Linked DNA regions of Arabidopsis thaliana. The protein of the gene in region 3 interacts with the protein of the main gene of each other region in a pairwise test. Each region holds a gene or a part of one and is shown on either strand. Other genes may lie near its edges. The genes, in order: RCF3, TRM20, CPL1 and AT3G26730.

Region 1 (6,560 bases), on a different chromosome or scaffold from region 3:
TCTGCAGTTCCCTTTACATCTGAAGACATTCCCATCACGAAATCAAATTAAAGGAGAAGCCACTAACACTAAACCAAAATAGTTTCAATACCATATCACTATCACATTATGTCAAAAGTATCTGTTTTACCCTTAACATCAAGAACTAAACATCATCAAGATCACAACCTAGATACCACAACAACAAGAGGAGAAAACCACTAGCATTGTACGACCTAATATCAGACTAAATCTATTTTGCAAAATTAAGAGCCTAGTACCTTGCGTTGCTCTCGGATGAGATAAGCATACTTGTCAATGTTAGGCACAGCAAGAAGTTTTGGCATAAGGTGATTCCTGAAGTATCCAGGAGCTACCTTCACAGTCTCACCAGCTTTGCCAAGCTTCTCAATGCCCTAACAAAACCAGATCAGATAAAGATCAAGACAAATCAAAACAAACCCACCATCTGATTTCAATTCAACCCAACGAAATGTGAAGGAAATTTCAAAATCAAACGATAAAAATCATGCCTTTCAGAATCATTAAACCTCACCGTTGTAAGAATAACTTCTAATTTTCTGTATCGAACTCCTTGACAAGCGAAAAGGAGAGGATGATGAATCGCATTTTCATACTTGTGATAAGCTGTTCCTCTCGAGACTACATGCCGAATCACGTTTCTACTTTGCCCAACATAAGCCATTTTCTCGATTCAACAATATTCAGTGCGACAGTCTACAAAGAGAGATTCCACAACAAGGAGTGAGAAAACCCTAGAAAACGACGGATATAAGAGAACAGAGAAAACAAAAAGAGAAGTTAAGGAAGAATCAATCACCAGTGAAGCGGCAATGCTACGACGGTGGAAATGGCGACGGCGGTGCGATGCGACGTCTCTTTTTCACGAACTCGAAGAAAGGTGAAGCCGCAGGTGAGGTTTTAGCAGTGGCTATTTTTGTAAAATACGACTTAAGATTTATCTATGTTTTCACCCTAAACTTTATCTAGGGCAAAAACACCCCAATCTCAATGATGTTAACTCAAGTGAAACGCAGCGTTTAAGTTCTTCCAATATACATAGGGGTGGTGTGAATTAAAGATGAGTCTTTAATGATTAGTCATTCGGATTAAACTTTAATGACTTTTTTAAATAAGTTACAGAACAATGTAAACAAAGAAGACTAATAGACAACATAGAAACCAAAGAGTGATGGTCAAAATGTGGAATGTTCATCTAAACTACTGCTTACTGAAATCCTAATATTCAACAAGTCATACATAACTCCACATTTCTCAGTTTCTTGATCTTCATCTCTGTGTTGACTGATGATCTGGTCCAAGTTCACGGTCCATCCTCTTGTACTGCACCAAACAAGGAACGGAAATCAGACTTATAGATCAGTACAATACGGATATAAAAGTTTGGAAAGAGAGAAACTTACTGCTCAAAATGAAGCCTTGAAGCAAACTCTGAGCTCTCTCTGCTTGCTCGGGTGTACCCGAAATTCGAATGATATTCTGTGTTTCTTCTGGTCTGTCTTCAACTATGGTTACACTAGCTCCAGACCACTGTGATCAAGTGGGAAAGAGATAAGACAAAGCGTCAAAGATTTTGATTAGAGTCATGATTTGCACCAATCTAGTTCCAGTTAAAAAGAGTTCTACCTCACTGATTTGTGCAAGCTTGTTTCTTGATTTCGTAACGAGCTTAGGAACAACCGCCTCTGGTAAGACAACTTCAAGAGTGCTTCTAGTAACAAGTGGTACCGCCATTCTAGAGAAAAAAACAAAAAGCAGGAAGGAAAGGTGTGAAACAAGCACTTGTACGGTTTTGGGAAAATATATCAAATTTGGGAGTTTCTCTACCTGCTTGTCGTGACAGGAACCTCTTCCCGGTGTTCACTTTCACCCGCCTTTGCAACTGATCCGAAACCTTCCTATAAAAACCAAGAGAAAAATATATGTAAATATAGGGACATTGCACGAATGGACAAGAACCATAGACTACTTTCCAAGTATTCAGGTAATTATGCATAGCCTGATAGTAATATTACATTGTTTCGATGGCAAAAATAAGTCTGACCCTAACTGATTACAGATGCCTTTATATTGAAAAGATTGTTGATGAGAACAAAAACCTTAAACTGTGGCAAGATTGTGCTAACTTGCTGCAAGTTCAGATTCGAACTAGTAGGACCTTCACGAGATTGAATTGTGTTATTTGATGAAGCTACCTCCATTACTCCTGCAACACCTTCGAGAGGGCCAGTTGTGGATGTGGAAGCTGGTGGTGTCTCCTTTTGAGAGAGCTCCTTGAACATATGACTCCTCAATAGTAATGTTAATTCAACAAGTGCTTCCCGAGCAGCTCTGATCTCGCCAGTAATCTACATCGACATTCACATAAGAATTCTCTTTTGAGACCAGAAGTTGTTTAGAAAATGCTCGACTCCTCAAAAATAGACAAACATACCTGTATAACAACATCATTGATAGAAGCACATCGGGGAATTTCTTCCCTAGCTAGAATTTGTACGCTTGTTCCAGTTAATCGTGATATCTCAGATACTGATCCTGCTTTCCCTTCCAAACATATAGAGTCTCTAGATGGGACAAGTAATCTTGTTGTTATTAAATTATCTTTATCCGGAATAAGATCTATGATCTGAGTTTGAATGTGCAACAAGGCTTCTTGAGCAGGGAAAAATGGATCATCAGGTGCCTAAGCAAAGTAAGAATACAAAACTTCAAGTTCACAATTGTAAATGTAACAGATAATATTGAAGAAGATCTGAGGGTATTTAGAGTACCTCTTCCGAAGAAATGGTGATTATCTGTTCATCAGATCCAGCAACTGGGTCAGATACTCTAACGTCCACGCCGATCTCGTTCTGAAGCAAATCAATTATTCCTTGCGATTCCCCAACAACCCGAACAATCTTGTCAGCTGGGCAGAGAATCTGGAACACAAGCTCTTCGGAGTAGACATTCTCACCAACTGGAACTGCTGGAGCTTCTTCTGCATAGTTGGACTGGCGAGAACTGAAGTTGTTATTTCTAAAATTACCACGAGGAAACCTATCGGATGATTGTCTTCTTAGCTGTGGCATGTAATCATCCCCCGCAGCTGCAAACGACCGTTCTGGTGAATGTGAACGCCCTTGGAAATTACTCCGATCACGATGCTGACTCTCCCTTAGACGAGATGATACAATGGCTAAAGCGTTTTTCACTGCATTTAGTTCACCTACAATCTGAAAGAACCAACATTATAAATGCATTTCCCATAGGTAGAAAACACCAAAGAAAGCTTAAACATAACAAATAATGACCAAGCTAACTACATAAGAGTGATTCAACTCTTGTCAACAACCTCAACCTCACAATCACACATTTAAATTATCTAGCATTTCAATAAACTGACTACATTTCATATCAAAATCTCAACAAGATTCACCATTTCAAATATGTTCTCAAAATAGCAATTTTTCAGACCTGAACAATCTCTTCAGAGAGTGAAACACAACGAGGTAAGTTACTTTCTCTTGGAAGAATCCGAATATGAGTCTTAGTTTCAATCCTCATCTGCTCAATAATCTTCCCACCTTTACCCAACAAACAACCAACATGCATCCTAGAAACCACTAATCTAGTCACAACTCTCCCTCCACCAGGTCTAACTCCACCGTAATCCTCCTCCTCTTCCGGCGGAGGTCCACCATAACCAAACTGAGCTTCACTCTCCAAAATCCTGTCATGAACACTAAACAAAGCCTCTTGAGCAGGAGAGAAAGACGGCATTCTCCCATCAGGGTCACGCCTACGATTATCAGAAATCTCAATGATACGCTCTGCATCTCCAGGAACTAGCTCGTGCACGTTAATCCACGCGCCGGTGTGTTGCCTTATAGATTTGATAATTGTCCCGGATTTACCAATAACACCTCCTGCTTTAGCGTCGTGACAGAGGATTCGATAAGTCGTTGTTGCCATCGTTTCAGGATGAGACTTCGATGGCCGGCCATTTCCACCTCCACCACCGCCGCCGCCACGGTATCTGTTATTTCCTCCGCCGCCACCACCAAAGTGGTAATTATTGTTGTAGCGAGGTTTAGACCTAGGCATGGAATCTCCGTCATAGTCTTGGTCATAGTGGTAGTTTCTCTTGGATCTAGATCTCTCCATTTGAATAAAATCGCAAACCCAGAAATCAAAGTTCAAATCTTTAACTAGTCATTTATCAATCTCGCAGCAAATTTTTCGAATTCGAGGGTTTTCTGAAGGATTAGAAAGTTCACAAGCCCTAGAAGGAAGTCTACAGTACCCAATTACTTTCCTTTTTACCGGAAATTGAAAAAGGAAGGAACTTTCCGGTCAATTTCACAGGAATACTTGGAGGGAGAATTCAAGAATGTCCAAAATCGATGGAGGCGAATCGGTGCAATGCAAAAATCACCAGCTTTTTGTGTGTTTTGAGGGTTCTTTCCTGTGAATCTAAAAAGCCAAAGCTTTTTGAAGTTTGAGAGTAGAGAGAGACCGTGCAATGGGTGATGTTAGTGGCGTGCGCTAACTACGATATTAGCTACTCCCAAACGTTGTCGTTTTGGTCTCTTGGGAAATTTGGGTATGCTTCATCTTTAAAAACTCGTATTAAGCTAAATAAATTGTTAGACAAATGAATCGTCATCAGATTTTCGCATAGTTATTAGCACTGATGAAGATGAATTTTTGTGCTCACGTAACGTATTAGTAGATACTAAAAATGTATAAATAATTTTTTTCTAATAGGTAAAAATGATATGATTAATACGTAACCAATTAGATGATTTTTCGTGTTATGTACGAGACTAAAACTGTAGACACGTATGTGTTTTTTTCTAATTTAATTTTTAACTATTTATTAACCGCGGTATTATGTAATTAAGTACATATACTAAAACTGTTTTTGGAAAACAAAAAATCCTTTTAATATTTACCAGGTAAAGTATAATTGGTTTAGTGTTAAAGTTTAGCATATGGTAAAAATCATTTGGTGCATCTAAGTATTGCATCCGTTGAATACCATTTTCATCACCAATCCGTAAGGACAAAAAACGATTTACTATCCCTTTTCAGCAATTTAATTTGTATTGCTTCATTGACAAAATTAATTTTTCAAGAGTTTAAAAATAAAGAAACCAAACTCTCATTGCACTTTAAGTCTTTAACTAAATGATCACTTTTGATGAAAAAAAAAACTAAGGATCAGTTCACAAAAACAAGCAATAACAAATTAACAATACAAGAAAATCGTCTCGCACTTATGGTCAAAGACTCAAAGCTTAAGTTGTTGGTGGATCGTTTCGTCTAAATTGTGAGCCTTGACGGGCATAAGTACTTTCCAAATGATAGGTCTTCCCAACAAATATTTTCCGTTTCAGGAGAAGGTATTGCGTTTTCAGGTTGTGCTACGACAAGATGGTGACCTAAACTATATATAATGAAAAAGCAGCCACGAAGTCATGGAGGTTTTATTATCACATGTCCTGGTGAACAATTATCTAGTGTCCAGCATAAAATGTCAGTAACGATCTTGCCTTGTTTTGTGTCTCGATCTGTCTTCTCCTGAAACCACACCAATATAATATAAAGCAACGCGGATCAAAATAGCAAAACATTATAAAGTTCAACAAATTGAACCGGAGATTAAAATAGTGTAGTGACTACTTCAACAAATGGTCTAAGTTGCTATTGTTTTAGGTTAATGCTCCACTTGTGTTCAGACCCATTATCGCTTCTCTTATATATGATGCATATGAATTCCATTGACGTAGTACTACTTCTACTTCTAGCGTTTTTCACGTGCTATATTTCTATACAACATAGTTTTCTCGTGTAAAAAATTTGACCGTTGACCTTTGTTAGATATTACCCGCCAATAAAATCCAGCCGACCAATCCTACGTGGCAGTCCTAACCTCCACCCAAAAAACCGAACCGAACCACACCACAGACCCAATCTCTCTCTCTTCCGATAGAAAAGTCCTTTCCTTTCTTCTCCTCTTCTCCTCTCCGGTTATTCAAAATCTGATCCCACCCAGATATCAGAGTTTGAGAACAAAAAAAGCGATGCCGTTTTGCGAGGTCGTGAAAGAAGATGTCGGCCCAGAGACGACGCTTAACAATGCCGCAATCAAAATCTTCTACAGAACGTACGGTCATGGTCCTATCAAAGCTCTTCTCATCATAGGTCTGTTGTAATCTCCATCTTTCCCATTTGATTAGTTTCCTTAGCAATTCCGAGCTTGATTTCAATTGGGTTTTTCTAATTTTGTTCAGGTTTAGCCGGAACCCATGAGTCATGGGGTCCTCAAATCATGGGATTGACGGGAACGGATAAACCCAACGACGATGATGACGACGACGGAGGAATTGTTTCCGATGATTCCGGCATCGAGGTTTGCGCTTTCGATAATCGTGGTATGGGTCGAAGCTCTGTGCCTACCCACAAATCTGAGTACACGTGAGCCAATTTCATTACTGAAGAACTTAAAATTCTCTGCTTTGTGTTCTTAATCTCGGTTTTAACAATTTCCTGTG
Region 2 (7,337 bases), 2.7 Mb from region 3:
CTATTCAGTTGTGATGTTTAATCCTTGATAGGTCTTAGTATTCAATTCTCAAAACTCTTTTAATCATTATCGAAGCAGCTCTAGTGGGATTCATAGTGATTGACCGTCACTGGGAGAAGGTGAGGTGTTTTTTTTTTTACAGTTGAAGCTTGTGTCTTGTGTGTTCTGTTTAACGGTCTGGACTTTTGTTTCTGTAGGATCTTCCTTATGATCCAACTGGAGAACTCAATAGTCTTCGAGCTTTCATCGAAGAAAACATCGATATTTGCAAATGGGTCGGAATTGTTGTGGTAGCCATCCAGGTAACTAACTAACTGATTTTGGTGCCTTTGAGTTCATTCATGATTCACTCAGTATTCATATGTGAGTATGTGTTTCAGTTACTGTCATTGCTACTGGCTTTGGTTTTGAGAGCTATGGTTTCACCTCGGCAATCAGAGCTTGATGATGAAGATGATTTTGAGAATCCGATGAGTAGAGCACGAGACAATCTTCTTGGTCCACAGGCAAACCAGACATCTTCTGGATCAAGCAATATTGACAACTGGAGGTCCCGAATCAGAGAGAAGGTAAAAAAAACTAAGTTTCTTGGTCGTTTGATTTTGAACTTAGTACCAAAGATTTAAGCTTGTGAATTGATTTGTCATTATATTCTTGTTCTTCTACAGTACGGATTGATCAACAGTCAGAGCCACACTCCATCAGCTTAACTCAAAAGACTGAGTTCTTGTGTCTGGAATTATCAGTACTTTGGTTTGGTTCTTCTCTCTGTTAACTTTCGAGTGTGCATAGATATTTACACATTTATGTTATCGTTTGATACTTTTTTCGAAACTCTGTTTAGATCGCAACATAGCTTTCATTTTGGTGTACAAAAGAGTTACGAGATTTGTGTTTGAAATGGGAACAACTGCTTATTGCTCTGCTTCAACAATGGCTACACAGCATTCTGTTTTCTCTCTCAATCATTACAAAAAAATCGAGACACAAATCTTCCCATAGACCAAAAAAAAATGAACTTAGCACTATCTTACATTTTTATTGAACGTAGTATATATATTGCTCCTGTCTCATCTCATCGTGTAAGATCGATAACGGCTTCCTCTACTAGCTCTTGCAACAATCTCTTTTCAATTTCAATCCCAAAGTCATCTATTTCAACTTGCAAGCTATGAGTCCATGTCCTCCCGACTATCTCATCTTTCACTAGACTCTCTGCAGCCAAACTGTTGGCGTCCATGTCTTCTCCTGAGTCACGCTTGCTAGGCTCATCTGAAACCCAGTCCTTTAACTGAGCCCACACATGCTCCACCAGGTCGAAATGCAGAGAACCATTACCTGTGCGTGTAGTCGTTGTTTCTGAAACGATGGAGTTGATGCGGTCGAAAATGAGCTTACGAGTTGATCGTTGTTGTCTGCGTTTGCCTTCGTGGATGAACTCCTTGATGTTGTTGTTATCCGGGTTGGTGTATTTGTCTCTGAGTGAAGGGTCTAAGGGACTGTTTGGCATGTGCCATCGTGACATGATGGGGTCATGAGAGACTATGCAACCACTGCTGAAACCTGCAGCTGTCAAGATCATTTCTATGAAGAGATGCCAGTCTTCCTCCTCATGGACTCCCATTGCGGGTTTAGCTATGTTGTCAGTGCAAGAGTCATCATCCCATGAGAGGAGCCGAGCAATTGACCCGATTGGTGGTGATTTGTCGATTAGATTAGATTTAAGAGACATTTCGTCTCCTGTTGAGAATGGAACATTTTGGATTAGCGTAAAAGGAATGTTGGGTAACAAAACTCTTTGAGAAAGCTAAGCAAGCAGAGAACTAACCTTGAGATGACCAATGCTTGGTTGACCCAGAACATTCTGGAATGCTGGCACATTCCTCTTCAAATGGTGGAAACAAAACCGAAATTGGACTTGGCTGGTCCTGGTTTTCACTTGTATTCCCAGTCGCTAGGGGCTTTGGTGTAGTCACTTCCTCCTGCAAATGGATCAAAATGGCCGCTGATTTAACATGAATATTCATCCACCTCGAATAGATTGAAAAAGGTTTAGAGAATTGGTGGGATACCTCGCCTAGGATTATACTTTGCTGTTCTGATGAAACAGGAGGGAGACAATCAATAGGAAACACACAATCTTCGCTGGTTTTTCCGGTAAGAGTCACAGGAGAAGGCGCTGCCAATTGAGACATACTGCTGCATTGAGATGCATCTCTTTTCTCCTTGCTTGCTTTATTATTCTTAAAGAAGAACAAGTTTGAGACTTTCCATGACGATTTCAGGCTTCCCGTCTTAGTCAGCTCTCGTGGAGCCTGTACTTTGGAACTCCCCAGAACAGATGTTTCTCCGTTGAGTCTAACGTCAGAGACTGATTTTGACCTTGCAAGAATATTCAGAGAATCACTTGCCATTTCCACTTGACTCAGATCACTAGTTATGCATGATGTTGATACCCTCGTTGCTGGTACTATTTCATAGCTCCCTTCCCCGGATTCAGTTGTCACTTTGGTCTCTGTAAGTGCAAGCATTTCCCCTAAGGTGCTTGAGGTTCTTGAAACATGTTTAAGCGGTTGAGTTCTTCCCGATACTGACATCAACGCCCATCTTTCAGAAAGTCGCTTCTTCGCCTCTCTGCAGACAGATGACTCTGGAGAAAATGAAGCTCTGCTGAAAGAGGAAGGAGAGAAAAGACTGTCAAACCTATTTGGACAGTCCCAAGAATGCCTAGATGCTGGTGACATGATCTCAGAATCGCTAAGATTTCCCACTAAATCTTCGTTATCAGACTTATTAAAAGAACTGTCATCACCGATATAGCCATTGGATAGGACAGAAGAAGACTGAGTCTCGTTCCTGTGGTGACCCATCAGATTTTCGCGCACTTGACGAGTAATTTCCTTTGCAACTTCTTTAGTCTCAACATCTTCAGGCTCATCAAAATATCCCCTACTGTGTAAACCCCTTGGAGAGGATTGGGATGATGATACAGCCTTAATATCTAGAGACTTTCCTAGACTAGGCTTCAAGACGACAATTCGGGTTGGCTGTACAGTGTGTTCTTCGGTTCCCCGGTTGACATAAGGTGACGGGTAACCCAGATCACGGTTCCCCCATCCAGTCTCTTGACTTGATGAAGCCAATTTCTTAACCTGCTTGTTCCTCCTCCCTTGAACCACATATTTTTCAGTTTCACCAGCCTTTGAAGGTCTCAATACTGTGATCCGCTTCGCCTCTGAATGAGGAGGAACATGGTGAAAGTCAGAAAGATTCTGCTGAGAGAAAGAATTTGATTCCTGGAGAAATTGAACAAACAAATCCTTGTTCGAGCTTAACACTTCAAGTGCATCTTGGAACTCTTTGGATTGGTGAAGACTATCATCTGTTACAAGGCGTTTTGCTTCTGAGAACTTTTGACGAACAAGAGCCATTTGTTTCTCAGTCGTACTTTCATCATATCTTCCTTTTCTAGGCGAGCAATCCCTTGAGCGACTCACCTTCTGAGGTGACTGCCATGTTTCATACACATCTTTAAATTCCCTACTGAAATCCTGATACTTTTGAACCTCATTATCTGTAGAAGTCATCGAATGATTCAGAGAAGAGTGTGAATTGCTTCTGGATTTGCTTCGCTGTGTAGCAGTCTCCTGATGCGTCTGGGGAAGTGTTTCCAAACCCATCAACTTAGCAACCACATTAGTTGGGCTCTGTTTATGTTCAACTTCTTTTGACATTTCTCGAGCAATGAGTTTCTTCATCGGTGTACCACTTAGTTTGCTAGAAGCACTTCTCCTCAAATCAGACATAATCTGTGCAAACAGTGCAGGCAATAGACTTCAGCTTCTGAATATTAAAATCGCTGTTGCTAGCATGCATACTATTTCTAATTATTTAACCAAACGTACCAATTCAGCTTCTGAATGGCCTTTATAAGAAGGGCCTGGCATTCGAGTCACATCAGATCGACTTCTTGACAGAGAGGATCCTGCCATGAAACTACCTCGTGTCAATAACACAGGTGGATACTAGGACATCCTACTCAGTTCAGAAACATAACAGAAAGCTTCGACTAGTGAACAAAGCAATTACAGAGGGAACTAGTGATTACCATCAAGATGTGGTTTATCTGTAAGCAACTTGTTCCCATTAACAGCAATTCCTAGATCAAATAGGTTAACCATCTTCCCTAAGCATCCTGGAACTGGACTTTCAATCTTTTGAGCCTTTCTGCCTCGGAGTTCATTCATTATGGTCCCTGCAGTTTCACAGCTATTTAGTTATTATCTGAGGTGACACGAAACTAACAAGCAAAGATTCCTAATGAAGAAACTTTCCAGCTCTGCAAGCTTCAAAATTTAAACCTAAAAGATCCAGGAAAAGTGAAGAGAGAGTAGAAGAAGAGAATATTTCTAGCAGCAAAGAGGAACAGGACAAGCATAACAAAACAAGAACTTTGTAAGGAAAAAAAGAAAGGAGAATAAGATTCTGTAATCAGAGGGACACTTTATAGTGACTGAACAAAAGATAAGATGAACCAGTTACCATTTTTTCACATGACCTATCACAATCAAGCCAGTCACTTTTTATGCTCTGAAGTCTGAACACAAACTCCTTGTGAAAATTACAAATCAAAATTGACTCACCCTTAATAATAAGACCCCCTCAAATTCCGAGATTGATGATAGGAAGAAACAATCAACAGGCACTGTGGATCTGCCTACATTAACCAGATTCCAGCATCAGTGATACAACACTCCTCTAGTAAGTCTATCTATGAACTCAAATTTGTTTCCCCCAAAAAGAAGAAACCTTTAGTAATAAATGTCACATCTTTAACAAAAACAAGCAAATTGACAAAGAGAAGAGTAAATGAATCCGACCAAAATTAGCTCAATACAATCACAATTGTAAGGAAACAGTAAAAGCAAAAGCAGAGAAAGAGAGAGAGAGAAAGGGTAAAAAGAGGGATCAGAATCTAATTGAAGTAAGAACAGTGAAAAGCAAACAAAGAAATCGAAACGAGAAAATAGGTAAAAAGCATCGGAAAGTGAGATCAGAGCTAAATGATTCAGACATTTTGTGGCTTTTTTACTCGGGGGAAGAGAGAGAGAGAGAGAGAGAGAGACCTGTAACAGTTAAGAGCTGAGCTTAGCTAGAGTAGATACATCGGAAACTCCGCCGGAAAAAGATGCCCGCCGGAGATAAAGTAAGCCAAATCTCTCTCTTTCTCTCACGCGTTCACACCGACTGAGAATGGCGTCGGAAGCGAAATGGATTTTGAGGAAAAAAGAGTCTTTTTTTGTTAGGGGAAACTCTCTCAGGTACAGACAAAACAAACCGAGAAGGAGAGAGGAAGCCAAAAGAAAATGGAGGAAGTTGCTCTCTTCTCTTCTCTTCTCTTCTCCACTCTCTTTCTTCCTCTTTTGTGTTCTCTCAATTATTCATTTTCTTTTGTTTCCAATATCTCTTCTTTTATCTCTTTTGTTTTTATTATCTATATATATAAATATTGGAACTGAAATAATATAAATTTAATTAAGAAACCACATTCGGAAAATCAAATTTATTCATTGGTTTTTGTAAAAAATAAAAAAAAATTAATACTATATTGGTTGGTACTATATAGTCTAAATTTTAAATTTTTTTTGTGGTAAAAATAATAATATATATAGTCAATATTGTGTATAATTAACAAATAAAAGTTTAATAATAGTTGGTTGGTACTTATGTATGAATGATGGCAAAAGACGTATGGAACATCAAAACGATTCGCAAGTTTTGTCAAGGAAAGGAAAATAGAAAAGAGATGTGATGCTTAAACTTCAATGATTAGTGTGCTAAAAGCAAAAGAAATCAGATTATGATCATATACTTCATCTCTTTCTATTTTTGGTTGCACGGATAGATACGCTCAACTTCACATTCACAATGAATGCTTTCATGAAAATTTGGTATGTTACAACAACCATATCCTTTGTTTCTGCTACTTTCACAACAATTACTACTAAGTCTACTATAGTAGATATATCAGTACATTTTTATTTATATATATACATTTTCATTTTAATGCAAACAAAACAATTACTATATGTTTCCCACTGACGAGTAAAAAACTTAATTAGATTCACAGAGAGCAAATAAATATAACTTGTCCTTCTAATGTATGGCCGAGTGGGCAATGGCGAATGATGATCCATTTTTGTGTTGTCAAATTATCGTTGGTTATGAATATCGGTTTCCCCATGCAATTTATTGTTTCGTATACTAAATTCTTTAATATGTTACCAAGAACGTGAAATCGAAATCGAGATAATGTGTAACACATAGGCAAGCCATGTAAATTATGCAGTCATAAAAGAGACGATACGCTAACCAAGAATCAATATATGGTTTCGAGCCTTCGATTATTAGAAAGATAACGACCACACTACTATTGGTTCTACATGTTTTATGTACATAAAATCAAATCGGGACCAAATAAAAGAAAAACTGAAATGGACCAGCCAATATAATGTATATATTCTTTAATATCAGTTGATAAAAAAAATAACAGGAAAGAGCAATAAAAACATAGAGCCATGACATTATGTCTTCATCATTATCAGCCTTAAACGATAACAAAATTATAAAGCTCTAGAATTCACCAAATATACCCAATTGAATTTCTACTAGTACCTAAAATCATAGTTACGAGGGCTAATGGACTTCTCATAAGACTTATCTTACGCATCATTTGGATCCTCTAATATTTCGCACACTATTAAGTCCCTAGACGAATCGAACCAAGGAAATGCGTAATTACCTTTTTAAGAAGAATTAATGCACCTAACGGATATTGCCGCTCAACATAGAGTGGTTAATGTTCTTTTTTGCCAACCTGTATTTCCATTTACTGAAGAAATAAATTTGACACAACTAAATCTTTGAAAATTACAATATTTTATAAAGATTTACAGTTTTTGGGTTTTATAAAATAAATAAGATTTGACAAAGATAGTTATGAAAAGAAGGATGAAATACGGATGTCTTTTCATGAAGATTTATAAAGAGTACTAATAACTTCATATCTTATGATTAGAAATCTAACTTTGAGGCCCTTGTGTACCTTCGAATATAGCTAGTTTATAGTGACGGGACCCTTAGCATAACCAAAATCACTGACAAGCCATAGCATTCCACGTGGTTAAGTCCATCTATACTCTCATTATCATCTTCCCTCCGGTTCGGGTTCACGATACTGGTTTAGCAACTAAATTATCAAACTATCACCAGTTTCGTAGAATTTATTCACACTAAAACCAATTATACGTTAAATCATTCGTTAGTCTTGTAACTTT
Region 3 (8,374 bases):
GCAAATATTTTCTCTTCTGCGACCAATGTCTTGGAACAGGAACTGTATTCCGGTACGACTTCAAAAACACTAACAGCTTTGGATCTGCTGAAGTCGCGTCCCAGACCTGAAAATTGTAAAACAGAACTTATGAATATACAATAGATATCTACACAACGAGATAAACCTTGGTACTATGAACACAATAGAGAAGCATCCATACCTCAACAACATCAGGCCTAGCGGAAACCTGCTTCAGCTCAGCAATCTTCATTCTCCGTTGAAGCTGAGGAAACAGAAATTCAGAATATTCAGAATCTAAAGAATGCAATAAAACAAATTGAGAGGTAATAATAAGGTTTGAGCTATACCTTTTTCTTCTTATTAGAGATGCCTTTCTCTTTGTTCTGATTATCCTGCTCGTCGTCGTCTGAATCAGAATCAGAGTTAACCTTCTTTTTGACATCTTCTTTCTCCTCAGACTCATCTTTCGTACCGTCTTCTTCAGAGGCAAGAGGTTCGCGGAAGTTGAACTTCTCGAAGATTTCCTTAAACTCATCGTTAAAACCATCTTCAAATTCAGCTTGCTCTGGAACATACTCTATCACAATCTGCTCACAAACCTATCAAAGAGAAACATATACCAAAAATCATCAGCAAACGATAAACAATCACAAACCCTAAGAAAAACCCTAGAACACCTCTCCATGAATCGAGTACGAGAAGATGAGCACAAAGTTAACCTGTGGCTGGGGATCTGTATTCTCTTTGGATTCAGAAGCAGCAGAAACGTCCGATGCATCTACATCGGCTTGGGATGCTTTGTTGTTCTTCTTCTGCTTCCGTCTGCGGCGGCGACGGTCAATCTCACGAGATTTCTTAGAGGAAGCGGAGGTGTTTCCGTTGGAGACATCACCGTTAGAAACGACGCTATGAACGAGTGCGACGGTTGAATCGGCGGTCATATTCGGTGTTCTCTCTGAATCGGTGATGTGAAAAGAGAGATTGAGAGGAGAAGGAAGAACGACGGAAATCGAGGATATACGTATATGAACAAGAGTCGGTTTGCTGAAATTCTCTCTGATTCTATTTCCGGTTTGGCATAAGGCCCATATAAGTAGAAGACGAATATATCTGCCAATAGGCCCAACACTTTATATTTTTCTTCGAGTGTAAGAATTGTTTTGTAGAAGACCATCTACTAGTAACTAATAGAAAATTTCAAAGGAAATGTATGGAACAATATTCAAACACTACTATAAATGTTGGCACGAGTTAACTCTACATTATTCGTAAAAATGTTCTATTGAACTTTTAAAATTATAAAATTACAGTTTACACAATGTCTTGAAATTTTGAAGAAAGTTATAAGTATCAAAATTGTATATATGTGGGTATTTGAGATTTAAATAAAATTCTCTGACTAACAACAAAACTTTTAATAAAATTTAAATGTTTTAGTTTATTATTCGTAAAAATTTAGTTTTTACATGAATTGAGGTAATTTTTATTCACTTTGAGATTTTATTAATGTGAGCACGACTCCCGGTGTATGTTATCGGTTGTTTATTATGCAATTAGAACAATATACATTGTGCCTTTTTAGTTTCAAAATTGTTTTCATAAGACATTAGGAAAGAACACGGAAAAAAAAGACATTAGGAAAGAATTTTGTAACGGCTTTTGTACGTAACGGTTATTTTTAAACAAGGAAAAAAATACTGTCTATAAAAAAAAATTATCTTTACGTAGTTGTGTATTTTAGAAAACAAAATAAATCATTTTTTATTTACTAAACTATTATTTTATAAGGAAAAGATTGAAAAGAGTAGGGGAAAGATATATGTGAAAAAATATTCATGCTTGGTAGATAAAAAATATTTCACAAATAAAGAGACAAGTATATGTCAAAAATATCATGTCTTTTGAATAAATAATCTTCTAAAAAAAAAGAATTAGATGAACTATAAATATCTTGTGGTATATGAATCCTTGACACTGTAAAAATCAAAACATGAGATCAGAAACACAAGTATAAAAGTACATTACAAGTACGGTATGAATCGAAAAAAAAACAGAATTTGACAGGTTTTGAGCTGATAAAAACTATTTCAGGCTTTTATTAATTTTTAAAAATAGTATTAATTGTTTTTAAAATAAGACATAAATAAAAAAAAGAACGGTTAAAGAAAATGAAGGGGCCCTTCGTGTTTTGTTTTCCCTTAAAAAAACCAAGGACAAAGGCATAATGCCGTATTCACAATCTTGACTCTTCGTTATCTGGATCTAGGGTTTCTCTCGATTTTTAGAACGCCACAAAACCTAATAAACTTTTCCCAGATACACAAACAAACTCATCATCAACCAAGGAAGAAGAAAGAAACTAGGGTTTTTTTTTGTGGATTCATCATCGGTATTTTACAGATCTATATTCAAAGGGAACAAAATCTTAAGGAACAAACACTAAATTTTCATTCTTTCTCTTATTTACCCATTTATCAAAAATCTTCCTTTTGTTTTCCTGATTCTTGCTAAAGAAAAAAACTCGGATCCAATTCATAAACTAGTGTGGACTGGTGATCAATCTATCAATTCTGGCCAAGGGACAACAAAAAGTTTAGATTTTGATGAACCAATTTTGAGATGAGACAATAGACATCCATTGATCTGTAAACTTTAAGAAGGAGAAGGAGAAAAGAAAGTATGTATAGTAATAATAGAGTAGAAGTGTTTCATGGTGATGGAAGACTTGGAGAATTGGAGATATACCCTTCAAGGGAATTGAATCAGCAACAAGATGATGTGATGAAGCAGAGGAAGAAGAAACAGAGGGAAGTAATGGAGCTAGCCAAGATGGGAATCAGAATAAGCCACTTTTCTCAATCTGGCGAGAGGTGTCCTCCTCTTGCAATACTTACTACAATTTCATCTTGTGGCCTTTGTTTCAAATTAGAAGCTTCACCTTCTCCAGCTCAGGAGTCACTCAGTTTATTCTACTCGTCCTGTCTCAGGGACAACAAGGTATCTAAACCTTACGAACCTTTAAGCCTTACTCAGACTTAGATTTTATCAACTAAAACTCAAAAACACTTAATGATAAATAGGATTTTGTGTCATTATTTAACTTCCTTAATGTCAGAGCTGCATCAAGTTTGGGGCTTTAGAAACTTTTAGTAGAGTGGGGGTTTGAATCTTGTGTTGTTTGTTATGTTACAAATTGTCCTCATATTTGTGAGTTTTGGATTTTTGCTTCTTGCAGACAGCAGTAATGCTCTTGGGTGGAGAAGAGCTCCATTTGGTTGCTATGTACTCGGAAAATATCAAGAATGACCGTCCTTGTTTCTGGGCATTTAGTGTTGCTCCTGGAATTTACGATTCCTGTCTTGTTATGTTGAATCTTAGATGTCTGGGTATTGTCTTTGATCTTGATGAAACCCTTGTAGTGGCGAATACCATGCGCTCATTTGAGGATAAGATTGACGGGTTTCAGCGGAGAATAAACAACGAGATGGACCCTCAACGCCTTGCCGTTATAGTGGCTGAGATGAAGCGTTATCAAGATGACAAAAATCTATTGAAGCAATATATTGAAAGTGACCAGGTTGTTGAAAACGGGGAGGTGATAAAGGTGCAATCTGAAATTGTTCCTGCCTTGTCTGACAACCATCAGCCTCTTGTTCGCCCTCTGATAAGGTTGCAAGAGAAGAATATTATTCTGACTCGCATTAACCCAATGGTATGCAAGTCTTGAATCAGTATATGTCTGTTAGTTTCTGTTCCCCGTATACATATATGTTTAGTGCTTACTACACATTTAAAAGACAATAAGTGGTGGTGTGCTGTGTGGTGGATTTCCTTGAATACTTGTGGTATAACCTTTTATTTTTCATTTGCTCCTTTCTGGAGCACCTAGATTTTTCTGAATTCTTGTGGCTGAATCTGCATTCCTATATTTACACACAGATTCGTGATACAAGTGTTCTTGTGAGAATGAGGCCCTCATGGGAGGAACTTCGAAGCTATTTGACAGCAAAAGGGCGTAAGCGTTTTGAAGTATATGTTTGCACGATGGCTGAAAGAGATTACGCCTTAGAGATGTGGAGGCTCCTTGATCCAGAAGGGAATTTGATAAACACAAATGACTTGCTTGCTCGCATCGTTTGTGTGAAATCTGGTATACTTTTTGGTATCTTATACCTGCTTATATTTCATCATGGTAAAACTTCTTACAAGCTTGTAATTAACCACCACAGGTTTTAAAAAGTCACTGTTCAATGTGTTTCTCGATGGAACCTGCCATCCAAAGATGGCATTGGTAATTGATGATCGATTGAAAGTTTGGGATGAGAAGGATCAGCCGAGGGTACATGTGGTTCCTGCATTCGCTCCCTATTATTCTCCTCAAGCTGAAGTAAGTATAATTTTTACCTAGTTGAAATTGGTTATGAAAAATGCAGAAGCATGTGAATTTGATAAGAATATTATTAATCAAAAGAATCACAAGTCATTTAGAATGGAACAAATGAAGCCTTATAAGACCTAACATAAGCTAGCTTTGTGGTGAGTTCTACGCAAGGGGTCTTTGTGGGCCTGGTTTGTTGCACAATTTCTACCAGAAGTGATAGTCTTGACTTTTCAGTAATAAATGGTGTCACATATAGCTCGTTTCCTTTTCTTGTAGGCTGCTGCAACACCAGTACTATGTGTTGCCAGGAACGTTGCCTGTGGTGTCAGAGGTGGATTTTTCAGGTAAGATGTCAGATTTGATAATAGTAGTTTGTTTTCTTGACATCTCTACTGATCAAGGGTGCTTCCTTAGTACATACTTACGGTGAAATGGTATTTGAACTTGGTTACAGGGATTTTGATGATAGTCTGCTACCAAGGATTGCTGAAATTTCTTATGAGAATGATGCTGAGGATATTCCTTCTCCGCCTGATGTCAGCCATTATTTGGTGTCGGAGGTTAGTCGTGATACTTGTTAGCGATTGGGAGTAGATAATTTTTTGGTTCTCTTCCAGGCAGTCTGGGAGCTTATTTTACTCACCTTTGAAACTGCTTCCCAGTAACTCATTCTTTTTTCAATATAGGATGATACATCGGGTTTAAATGGGAACAAAGATCCACTTTCCTTTGACGGGATGGCTGATACTGAAGTGGAGAGAAGACTGAAGGTGATTTACATTTTGAGGCTCTATTGTTACTGAGTTATTGTGGTGATCCATTAAAGATGCCAACTCCAGTAAACATGGCTTCTGGTTTAAATTTTCTGCCCAATGTTGAAATTCAAATACATTTTTCCGTTTTATTCAGGAGGCAATTTCTGCATCTTCAGCTGTCCTTCCGGCGGCAAATATAGATCCGAGGATAGCTGCTCCCGTTCAGTTCCCCATGGCTTCTGCTTCTTCTGTTTCAGTTCCAGTACCAGTACAAGTCGTGCAACAAGCAATACAACCTTCAGCTATGGCCTTTCCAAGTATTCCATTTCAACAACCTCAACAACCGACATCAATAGCTAAACACTTGGTTCCTTCAGAACCAAGCTTGCAGAGTTCTCCTGCTAGAGAGGAAGGTGAGGTACCTGAATCAGAATTAGATCCAGATACTAGGAGGAGACTCCTCATATTGCAGCATGGACAAGATACTAGGGATCCTGCTCCAAGTGAACCTTCATTTCCTCAGAGACCTCCAGTTCAAGCTCCACCCTCACATGTGCAATCAAGAAATGGCTGGTTTCCTGTTGAGGAGGAGATGGATCCTGCTCAAATTCGTCGAGCAGTCTCAAAAGAATATCCGTTGGATTCTGAAATGATTCATATGGAAAAGCACAGGCCTCGTCATCCATCATTTTTTTCTAAGATTGATAACTCAACTCAGTCTGACAGGATGCTTCATGAGAATCGCAGGCCGCCAAAGGAGGTACCACTAATCTTATTTAACCTATGATTTTACAGTTGTCAGTTTTTTTGGTCTTTATACTGCTGTACGACGTTTAGTGCTCACTGTGATATATTTGCAGTCTCTCCGGAGAGATGAACAGTTACGTTCAAATAACAATCTACCTGACTCTCATCCTTTCTATGGTAAGCCATCAAAGTTATTTGTTCTTGTATCATTTTGTTCTGAAGATAAATCACTGACTTGGGTATTGGGATGGACTCTCTAGGGGAGGATGCGTCTTGGAATCAATCTTCCTCTAGGAACAGTGATCTTGACTTCCTACCTGAACGAAGTGTCTCAGCAACGGAGACTTCAGCTGATGTTCTACACGGAATTGCTATCAAATGTGGAGCTAAGGTATGTAAATATCATCATGATTACCATTAATTCCATACGTGAGTTGATGTGTTATTATTCCATGACATTGTAGGTGGAGTACAAACCAAGTTTAGTTTCTAGTACAGATTTGCGGTTCTCTGTTGAGGTACGTATTGCTCTTAGACGTATCTGTTTGTATGGTGTCAGTAATTTTGGTGGAACCTTATGCTCTTTGAGATCCTATATTTCCTTTGAGTGAGGTTACTTTGTTGATTGTGTCAACTGTACATTAAATCTATGTTTTTTTTGCAGGCTTGGCTTTCTAATCAAAAAATTGGAGAAGGGATTGGCAAATCGAGAAGAGAAGCCCTGCATAAGGCTGCTGAAGCTTCTATACAGAATTTAGCTGGTAAGACTTTCTGACTCATGATTTACTCGTGTCTTAATCTTTGTCTGCAGAGATACTATTTGAGATAGATTGTTTGAATCTGCTATATTGGGTGAATGTTATTTGTTTGATGTTTCTAAACCATCTTCACAATATTGGGTGTAGATCTCAATTTTTCAACCAATCTGTTTAGTCTGTAATATTAATAGATCTATTGTAGCTTCGTGTTGGTCCTCATAAATGGGTTTATATCAATGAGTATGAGTACTGCCACCACAAACGGTTGCGTGTCAGTATGTTATGATATCAAAACTGTGGGTCCCTTCCCTTTACAAGGGTGAGAGCTATCTTGGATTTGTGGCAGTTGGCTCAGGTTTAATATTGGTCGGCTTCATTCACATTGTTCTTATAATGAGGCTTTAAACTCATTGTTGTTCGTTTGTTTCCAGTTTCTTGAGTTCTTACTCCTTTTTTTGCAGATGGATATATGCGTGCAAATGGTGACCCAGGGCCCAGCCACAGAGATGCTACCCCCTTCACCAATGAAAATATAAGTATGGGAAACGCAAATGCGCTTAATAATCAGCCATTTGCTAGAGATGAAACAGCGTTGCCAGTTTCTTCTAGACCTACAGATCCGAGATTAGAAGGTTCTATGAGGCACACTGGCTCCATTACTGCACTCAGGGAATTGGTATGTATCTCCTTAGTGCGGATACTGTTGATTGATATGGTTGCTTGCTTACATTCACATATTGTTTTTTCTCATCTTTGATTCATCTGTAACCAAATTCCAGTGTGCATCGGAGGGTCTTGAGATGGCTTTTCAATCTCAGCGTCAGCTTCCATCTGACATGGTCCACAGAGATGAATTACATGCTCAGGTTCGCACCCCTAAAAGATTAGAACACAGAAGTGTTAAATTTTTTAAAAAAAAAATCTAAGATAGACAATTTTCAGTTAAAAGAGAAAGATTCATGATTTTCTCTTCAGGGCCATCAGTATATTTCATATCTATTCAATTGGTTTGAAGTATCTAGAGTGTAGACCCCTCTTGATACTCTTTGTAATATATTTCAGGTTGAAATAGATGGGCGTGTTGTAGGGGAAGGAGTTGGATCGACATGGGACGAAGCTAGAATGCAGGTAACTCAACTAAATTCTTGCCTCGGGTTTATTCTGATCCCATCTTTTCCCTTCTCTGACGTTCTTACCTTTAGGCTGCTGAGAGAGCACTGTCCAGTGTGAGATCAATGCTTGGTCAACCTCTGCATAAACGACAAGGATCTCCACGGTTTGTTCTTGACTATATCTATATGATTATCAAAATAAAAATGTCAGTTGATATATTTTAAAAACCGGTTTCTTGTTGATGTTTAGATCATTTGGTGGGATGTCAAACAAGCGATTAAAGCCGGACTTTCAACGGTCTCTGCAACGGATGCCATCTTCGGGAAGATACTCTTAAAAATAAAACCATGTGAAGAACGAACCACATTCTACATTAATTCCATTCTCTTGGTAAAAACAGCTACCAAGACGAATTCTTTGTCAAGTTCCTTTCTTCGCCAAATGATGATCAAGACAGCGAGAGTTGCCTCTCTTGTATTGATGTAACAACAATTTGAGGCGGTTCGCGATTTTTGTATCATAGAAACTCTTGAGTTGAAGCATCAGCTCGAGTGGCCACAAAGATAAGACCTAAGGATGAACGTTTAGCTTGTTCTCAGGCTGTTAAGTTTCCACAA
Region 4 (7,049 bases), on a different chromosome or scaffold from region 3:
CTTTGGTTGCGTGAGGAAGAAGAAAAGTGAGTTTTGGAGAAGAAACTGAAGAAGGAAGAGGAAGAAGAATAGTTGGTTTGATAAACAGAGCTCCCTGCATTTTTGTAATCTATTGATCTTTTGGTTAAGAAGATAGGTTTAGTGATTTTAGATATTTTTTGGTTCTGTTTTTGGAACAGTTTATGCTTTATTTATAGCCAGAGAAGAAGCAGATTTGTTGGTGTTCAAAAAAAAATAAAAAATTGTAATCTTATTCTCATTGAAGTAAATTTTGATATTATTGAGGTCAATAATTGATAATCCAACGGACTAAAATCAGTGGTCCAAACTTTCTATGACAAAGAAGATAAAAGTTTGAACAAAAGGAAGAAGATATTTTTTAAAGGATAAGGTTCATGCTTTGTTGTAACATGTGAGAATGAAAATCACTCTTGGAAGAAATTTTATCCAATCTTTTTTTTTCTAGTTCTCTGAGTCAAGAGGATCATATGATTGAGTCTCAATAATTGTCCTAAATGGCATAGTAGACTAGTAGTAATGAGAGACACCTTCATTATCAGTCACATGGGTTGCAAAAAGAAACAAAGCCCAAGTTTGAGTTTTACACTTACTCACTCACCATAATCTCTGGTTCTTTCTTTACTCAGTTTTTCTTAGATGAAAAGATTATTATACATACACAAATCCATAGGCCTTTTCAGTAACGGCGTACACTAGTTGTCGATAGAAGTACTCGGCTCTGTTTCTTCCCTCTCTTACCGGGCTCTTTGACGGTTGGTGCCATTGGTGTTGTTGTTCTTGAAGCTACACTCGCAAAGGATGTTATGTTTGTGTTTCTTGCACCTGAAACCATGTTTAGAGGTCATCCGAGAATCCTATTTAGAATTTGCAGAGCTAAAAACAGTGGTTACCTGTGGTTGCGTTTGAGACTTCACTGCTGCTGCTGCTGCTTTGAACGTTTGTTGGCTCGTTATTCAGGTTTGGGGAGTCGTGACCAGCTGCGAAACCGAGCCTTGTCACATGTGAGAAGGAACTTCTCTCTCCAATGTTTGGAGGGCTTGATGATATTGGGGCAGAGTTTCCCAGAGCTTAAGAGAGACACAACAAAAGCTTCTTATTAGATCAATAAACCTAAAATCCAATTACGAGACGAGAGATTCCTCTTGTTTACCTTCAAAGTCATCCAAGGAAAATGGGGGAAAGTCATCACTAGAAGACGACTGCCCAAAACTGGCCATCAATGGTACAAGCTCTGCAGCTGCAGCTACTTCAGCTTTGATTTTATTTTTTCGATCCTGAAATATGAACATCATATGATCTTAAGTCCTGATTTTTCCTTAAACAAAGGAATACATAGGAGAATAAGACACAAAGCAAACAAAGCCAATAGGAGTTGGAATCTGAAAGATATTAGATGAAGTAGACCGTGGGGTTGTGTTTTATGGTTAGAACGAGAATACCTTCCAAGCACGTTCTTTCCGCTGCTTCTCACGCTTCTTAATTTCATGTATAAATGGAGCAAATGCATCAGGAGGCAAGGATTCCTTCATATCAATCTCACATATCTGAAAAGATTACCAAACCAAGGATAACCTCATGAGAAAATGTCAAGATATAGCAACACATGCAGAAGATAGGAGCAACAAAGAGAAAATATACCTGAAGTGTAGTTGATAAAGAAAAATGACTTAAAAAGCGGTAGCGTCTCCTTATCGCTTCTGATTGGGTAATGGTTTCCATTTCCAGTATCTTTCCACTCAATCTGCCGTTTAATGGATCAAAATCAGAAGTCTATTAGAACAACAAACTAGAGATGATAACATCTTGTACTGAACCGTTTTTACTTGAATGTATTGTCCGTTCTGATTTTCATACTAAATAAGAGTTGGATCTTTATACGAACGGTTCTTGATTAATCAACGAAAAGTGCCATATATCACACTTTGAATCAGCATCCCAAATACATGCAGAAATGATTAGATAACGAAGAAGATCCCATTGGAACTTATTCCATAGTCTTTGAAAAATGAGAATTGTGATGCATAAACGACCTGGAATCTTACCTTGGTGGAAGAAAGTCATAGCTTCCATAGTGATGCAGAAGGCACTTCACATTCAAAGTGTGAAGGATAATGTGCTGACCATCAACAGACTGTATAGGTACACAACAAGAGCACAAAGGTAAGACAAATTAAGCATATATGGATAGAACCACCACAATTATTTAATAAACCCACCTAGATTATCGAAAACAGATAATAACATTTATTTCAGATTATAGAGATTGACCAGCCCATAGCAATAAAACAATCATCATGCAGCTCATTAGTACTTTATGAAAACACAACAGTATGCATCAGAAACTGATTACCTGATAAAAGTTGTACGCGTCGTTGTCCTTCAGGTCTTTGGTGTCAATTTGGTGAGACAGGAAACCTTTACTTCCATTGCATGAGGAAGATGACGGTGCGTCTTGATCTTCTAGAGGATGACCAAGATCATTATCACAACCCTTTTCCAAACTTGATTGAGATTCTCCATCTGACTTATCCGCTGAAGAATCTTCAGTTGATTTATCTTGATCATTGGAGCCGCTATCTGGCGCTCCATGGCCCCCCATGGGTGCTTGATAACCAACTCGAGAAACATCAGGAGGTGACAATGATTGAGTCTGATTTCTAGCCGTTGTGCACACTTTGCTGTAAATAGAGAGCTTATGCTCATTCCAGTACAATTTTCTCTGCTCCAAACGCTCTAAAGCGGCATTTACATAAAGATGCTTCTCCAAGTCTTCAACGAGCTGAGGATCTGCTCTTGCAATCCAACTGTCTAACTCTGAAACTGCTTGTCTGACAGAGAGATCAACATCTTGGGTGAAAGTGAACTTTGAGAACGGATCATATATCTCATTTTCACCATTAGGAACAGCCAAGTCATGCTCATTTTTCCGGGTAGGAGCAAAAGAATCTTTCTTGCGAGTCAAAAGTACAAACTCGATGGGATCTCCAACAGAATACTGCTTGACGTTCTCAATATAAACAGTGTATAACTCTCTTGGAGAAATCATCACAAAGCACAAAGGACACCTCTTGAAGCAGTCCACCTTGTGGTTATCAACACCAGTCAACAGGTACTGTAGAATACACGGGAAACAGAAAATATGCCCACAGGAAGTAATCTGCGGACATAGAGGATACTCCAAGCAAATCGGACACTGGACAGGAGACGGAGTAGAATACCTTACACAAATAATATCATCCCACTGCAGCATTTTATCAGGATCCATTGAATCAGGAGAATGATCTCCAGTGTCCAACACAACAAACTTATAATTGGCCTTAAGAAACAAATCCTTGTTAAAAGGCCTCCCCTTATATTGTTGCCTTCTTTGAGGCGGAGGAGGACCCCTAGATTGCGGTTGCGAAATCGGATCATACTGAAAATTCAGTAAATGATTCCCACTTATCATATTAGCTCTTCTACCAGTTGGATTATGATGCGAAACACCGCCTCTAGGAGAATTAAAAGGTCCGGAATTATGCTGCAATTGAGAAGAAGAAGAACCAGCAGCTCCAGTACCTCTCCCTCTAGACCTATTCCTTCGACCATCATATCGAAAATGGTCACGCTTATCTGCATTAGGTGGGGAAAAACTCTCCTTCCCTGCTCCATTTTGTGTCATCTGCAGCGTAGAAACAAAAGTAACGGACCATTCAACAAAAAAGGACTTAAAGTCTCATCATTTACTGAGAAGCATCTAAAGTTTACCTCTTTGGAAGATCCACGGCTATGTCCCTCCTCAGCTGCAACACTCGGTTCTACAGTTTAACAGAAAGAATAAAAAATTAGAGAAAAAGCTAAGATTTTTCAAAGAGACCCTAAAAACCCAAATCAAAACTCAACAAAATTAACGAACTTTTAATGTAAAAACCCTAAAATTTAGGGCAAAATCAAGCAGCTGAGTTAATCAATCAATTCCATTACCCCTAGAGCCACCGGAGAAATTGTGAGAGGATTCAGAATGTCCGGAGAATCGAGTTCCGGTGGAAGAAGAGATCCGGGAAGGAGGAGAGGAGGGAAGAGGAGAGAGAGAAGAAGAAGAGTTGTTGCCATGCTCAGAGCTAGGGTTTAGAGAGGAATCTGAAGAAGGAGAAGACGAATTGTGACCTTGGATAATCGGAGGAGGCAAGATGGACATGAAAATTTTAGGGATGAGAAAGGAGATTTCGCCGGCTCAGAGCCACCGCTTCTTCTGTGTTCACTTATGAAAATTTTTTAACCAAGGCCAAAAAAAAGTTGTCGTCGTAGTTTTTGTTTCTTCTTTATGATTGCTCCGTGTACCCGACCCGGATTCGTTAACCCGTGATATGATTCCTTTTCTTCGCGGGTGGGATATACCGAATCTTTATTACACAGTTAATGTAATAACTACCGGTTTGAGTTTATCTACTTTTGTGTTCATTTGTCAACATCGCATGTATATATATATATATATATACGTATATATATAGTTTCAGTATAGCCAGGTTAACGGTGGGAATTTCGGTTTAAGTTCGGATTCGGTACGATTAATTCGGTTATGTAAACACCAAACAAAATTTATTGTCGTGATAGGAAAGTTTTTAAACCGAACTATTTGGGTTGAGAAGAAGCCTAACCGAATAATTTTAGTGTTAATCCGGGTTTAGTTTGGGTCGGTTTGAGTTCGGTTGGTTCGGATCGGTTCGGTTCGGTTAAAATGCCCACCCCTTAGCAAACGTAAATGTTAATGCAGAAATTGCGATACTCCTACCGGGATCGCACTCGTGACTGTTGCAATCACCCGAATTTTAAACTCGCATCAGACACTAAATTCAAACTTTTTTCTCTTCTCCGATTAAACTTAAAAAGACAACAACAACGTGTATTATTTCATAACCTATGTTGCTGCTCTTTATCACCAACCATTTCAATTTGATCATCAAACTTGATCAACAAGGTTCGAATTTCCATCGGAACAAGCTCAACCACTAGCTTCTCTGCGTCCACCGCCTCTCCTCTCTTCACTTCCTCCCCGGCCGAGCCTTCTACTTTCCAGATTAGCCGTCTCTTCTCCATCTCCGCCTTCTCTTGGTTCCCGGAAAGACTTGTCTCCTTTACTTCCCTTATCTGTTCAAAACATATTAAAAACAGAACGGCAGTTGTTTTTGTTAACATACAGTGAGACAAATAAGAGAAGGGTCGTCTTTTTTTGGCGAACCTTTTTGTTGTGGAATAGTTTCTTGAGCTCTACTTTTGCCATAACTGAGTACTCACTATCCTCCCCAACCTTCACAAGGTTAACAAGACAGTAACTCAGAAGGACTCAACTTCGATGAAACCATTAAGAGAAGAGATAGAAAATAATTATCAAATTCCACATTAGATTTTACCCGTTGCTTAGTGAACCAAAAAAGCAACACTGTCGAAGTTCATGGGTTCTCAATTTAAAACCAATTAGTGGACTTGACCATCTCCCTTCTATATTACTTTAGGTCTCATCTTATTTCACATGTGGAACTATTAAGGAAAACCAAATGACATAGCACGATGATCAACCGCATAGTCAGCTTTTTACGAGTATAAACATGAAAACAGTTTGATTTTTAGGTGAAAAATACACCCTAAACGTTACGGTTTGGTTTTATGAACTAACTCTATACAACTAATTGTCTGGTTTCCTGACACTGCAAGATTTGGGTTTTCTGAGTAATACAAGTTTTTCTATATCTCTAATTATTTGCTAGTTTAATCGGCCTAGTGTTAAACTACATTTCCACAACCAAAAAGCACATAGCTATAACACATTATTAACGGTGGAAACGCATAGAGAGGACAAGTAAGAACCTCGAATAAGTGAGCAAGCCTTAGAAGAACTTCCCCATTTTCCAACTCCTGAAAATGTCAGAATTAATCATAGTGTGAGTGTGGTCAAACTAATAAAAAACCGTCTTTGACATGTATACAGTACACAATCCAACTAACCTGGAGGGTGAGTAATGCGACGTTTTTTGGTAATGAATATGACGGTTCAAACGCTGAGAATGTCGTCTTATGTGAATTAATCCAACTATCTCCTTCCTACAAAAAAAGTACCTTATCTCACTTCACTATCTTATAGAACTGGAGGGAAGTAAGTATTTTTTTTTTTTTAAGAGCAACCTGTTCTGTGAATGCTATAAGTAGTGGAGAATAAATTTCTTGACCAAATGTTCGACGCCATTTTGCCCCATCTCCAGGTTTATCTATCTGTACATAAAACTTCCCTTGTATCTGCAAAACAATTCAGAGTTACCATAACGGTTATAAGACCAACTATAACGATTTAATACCACCTTGGAAACAAGCTCTGTCACATGTTCCCTTAAAAGCTGATACGTTGCAACTTGGACAGCTAAAAATGAGATGAGAACTTAAGCTTACCGTTAATCCTTTGCATCCTTCAGGGAGACAGACTGTTTCATTAAGAATCTCACCAACACCTCTAATGTCATCATGCTGCATTCTCCTACATGAATGAAAAAAAGGTGAAATACAAGCAAAACAACATATGCTTGTCTTGGTTATATAGAGAAAGTTAGTTGACAAACCGATGAAGCATCAACTCGATCTGGCCGTTCTCTAAGCTGGATCCACCTACAGCTCGATCCACCAACACGGATAGCTCTGAGGTTTTATCTTGCATGTATATCCCGAGATTTAGCTGGAAGAAAATATATATATTAGACAAAAGGCCAGATATAGTGCAGCTCAGTCTAGTACAAGACCTTAGTACACCACGAGAAGGAATCTCAGATGGGTTTGATGCCTTACAGGATAATAGTTCCCAGCAACCGGTTGGTACACTTGCAAGTCCCAATCTGTTCTGAAGTCCCGAATCTGCAAGAAAATGTAACAAAGTATGTTACAATAAAAACAAAATACCCCTTGTTACAAAAATAAAAATAAACTACTTCACATGAATTTTGCATCTAATACCCGCTTGATGAAGTCACGGCCATTCGAGTCTGTGTAAAATGTTCCATTTGTCT

What was found.
Region 1: the proteins of CPL1 (region 3) and RCF3 interact in a two-hybrid assay, tested with the Arabidopsis thaliana proteins (one study listed by BioGRID).
Region 2: the proteins of CPL1 (region 3) and TRM20 interact in a two-hybrid assay, tested with the Arabidopsis thaliana proteins (one study listed by BioGRID).
Region 4: the proteins of CPL1 (region 3) and AT3G26730 interact in a two-hybrid assay, tested with the Arabidopsis thaliana proteins (one study listed by BioGRID).

The regions. Positions count from the first base shown.
Region 1 is NC_003076.8:21,512,962-21,519,521, reverse strand, and holds RCF3 (RNA-binding KH domain-containing protein), read right to left. Parts: upstream 4,627-6,560; 5' UTR 4,168-4,626; coding exon 3,478-4,167; intron 3,237-3,477; coding exon 2,793-3,236; intron 2,705-2,792; coding exon 2,456-2,704; intron 2,370-2,455; coding exon 2,121-2,369; intron 1,920-2,120; coding exon 1,849-1,919; coding exon of another isoform or gene 1,845-1,848; exon of another isoform or gene 1,817-1,844; intron 1,757-1,816; coding exon 1,648-1,756; intron 1,552-1,647; coding exon 1,425-1,551; intron 1,345-1,424; coding exon 1,325-1,344; 3' UTR 975-1,324; downstream 1-974. Other genes in the region: AT5G53070 (Ribosomal protein L9/RNase H1), read right to left, coding at 261-395, 536-685; AT5G53050 (alpha/beta-Hydrolases superfamily protein), read left to right, coding at 6,090-6,210, 6,300-6,483. UniProt on the Arabidopsis thaliana protein: Acts as a negative regulator of osmotic stress-induced gene expression. Involved in the regulation of thermotolerance responses under heat stress. Functions as an upstream regulator of heat stress transcription factor (HSF) genes.
Region 2 is NC_003075.7:14,205,550-14,212,886, reverse strand, and holds TRM20 (methyl-coenzyme M reductase II subunit gamma, putative (DUF3741)), read right to left. Parts: upstream 5,428-7,337; 5' UTR 5,127-5,427; intron 4,718-5,126; 5' UTR 4,644-4,717; intron 4,256-4,643; 5' UTR 4,248-4,255; coding exon 4,109-4,247; intron 3,986-4,108; coding exon 3,906-3,985; intron 3,810-3,905; coding exon 2,073-3,809; intron 1,983-2,072; coding exon 1,829-1,982; intron 1,741-1,828; coding exon 1,076-1,740; 3' UTR 837-1,075; downstream 1-836. Other genes in the region: AT4G28770 (Tetraspanin family protein), read left to right, coding at 39-119, 198-302, 381-569, 669-710.
Region 3 is NC_003075.7:11,508,829-11,517,202, forward strand, and holds the start of CPL1 (C-terminal domain phosphatase-like 1), read left to right. Parts: upstream 1-2,160; 5' UTR 2,161-2,682; coding exon 2,683-3,000; intron 3,001-3,238; coding exon 3,239-3,715; intron 3,716-3,942; coding exon 3,943-4,153; intron 4,154-4,232; coding exon 4,233-4,390; intron 4,391-4,660; coding exon 4,661-4,728; intron 4,729-4,838; coding exon 4,839-4,944; intron 4,945-5,070; coding exon 5,071-5,154; intron 5,155-5,293; coding exon 5,294-5,899; intron 5,900-5,999; coding exon 6,000-6,063; intron 6,064-6,146; coding exon 6,147-6,277; intron 6,278-6,350; coding exon 6,351-6,404; intron 6,405-6,550; coding exon 6,551-6,647; intron 6,648-7,105; coding exon 7,106-7,320; intron 7,321-7,423; coding exon 7,424-7,510; intron 7,511-7,706; coding exon 7,707-7,772; intron 7,773-7,846; coding exon 7,847-7,920; intron 7,921-8,006; coding exon 8,007-8,094; 3' UTR 8,095-8,374. Other genes in the region: AT4G21660 (proline-rich spliceosome-associated (PSP) family protein), read right to left, coding at 1-106, 203-265, 351-602, 723-944. UniProt on the Arabidopsis thaliana protein: Processively dephosphorylates 'Ser-5' but not 'Ser-2' of the heptad repeats YSPTSPS in the C-terminal domain of the largest RNA polymerase II subunit (RPB1). This promotes the activity of RNA polymerase II.
Region 4 is NC_003074.8:9,820,919-9,827,967, reverse strand, and holds AT3G26730 (RING/U-box superfamily protein), read right to left. Parts: upstream 4,445-7,049; 5' UTR 4,199-4,444; coding exon 3,985-4,198; intron 3,819-3,984; coding exon 3,769-3,818; intron 3,683-3,768; coding exon 2,372-3,682; intron 2,153-2,371; coding exon 2,064-2,152; intron 1,763-2,063; coding exon 1,660-1,762; coding exon of another isoform or gene 1,566-1,659; coding exon 1,461-1,565; coding exon of another isoform or gene 1,446-1,460; exon of another isoform or gene 1,296-1,445; coding exon 1,172-1,295; exon of another isoform or gene 1,089-1,171; coding exon 912-1,088; coding exon of another isoform or gene 895-911; exon of another isoform or gene 844-894; coding exon 698-843; 3' UTR 501-697; downstream 1-500. Other genes in the region: CCL (CCR-like protein), read right to left, coding at 1-100; AT3G26720 (Glycosyl hydrolase family 38 protein), read right to left, coding at 4,912-5,148, 5,240-5,308, 5,866-5,913, 6,004-6,099, 6,181-6,291, 6,442-6,526, 6,609-6,721, 6,832-6,897 and 1 more.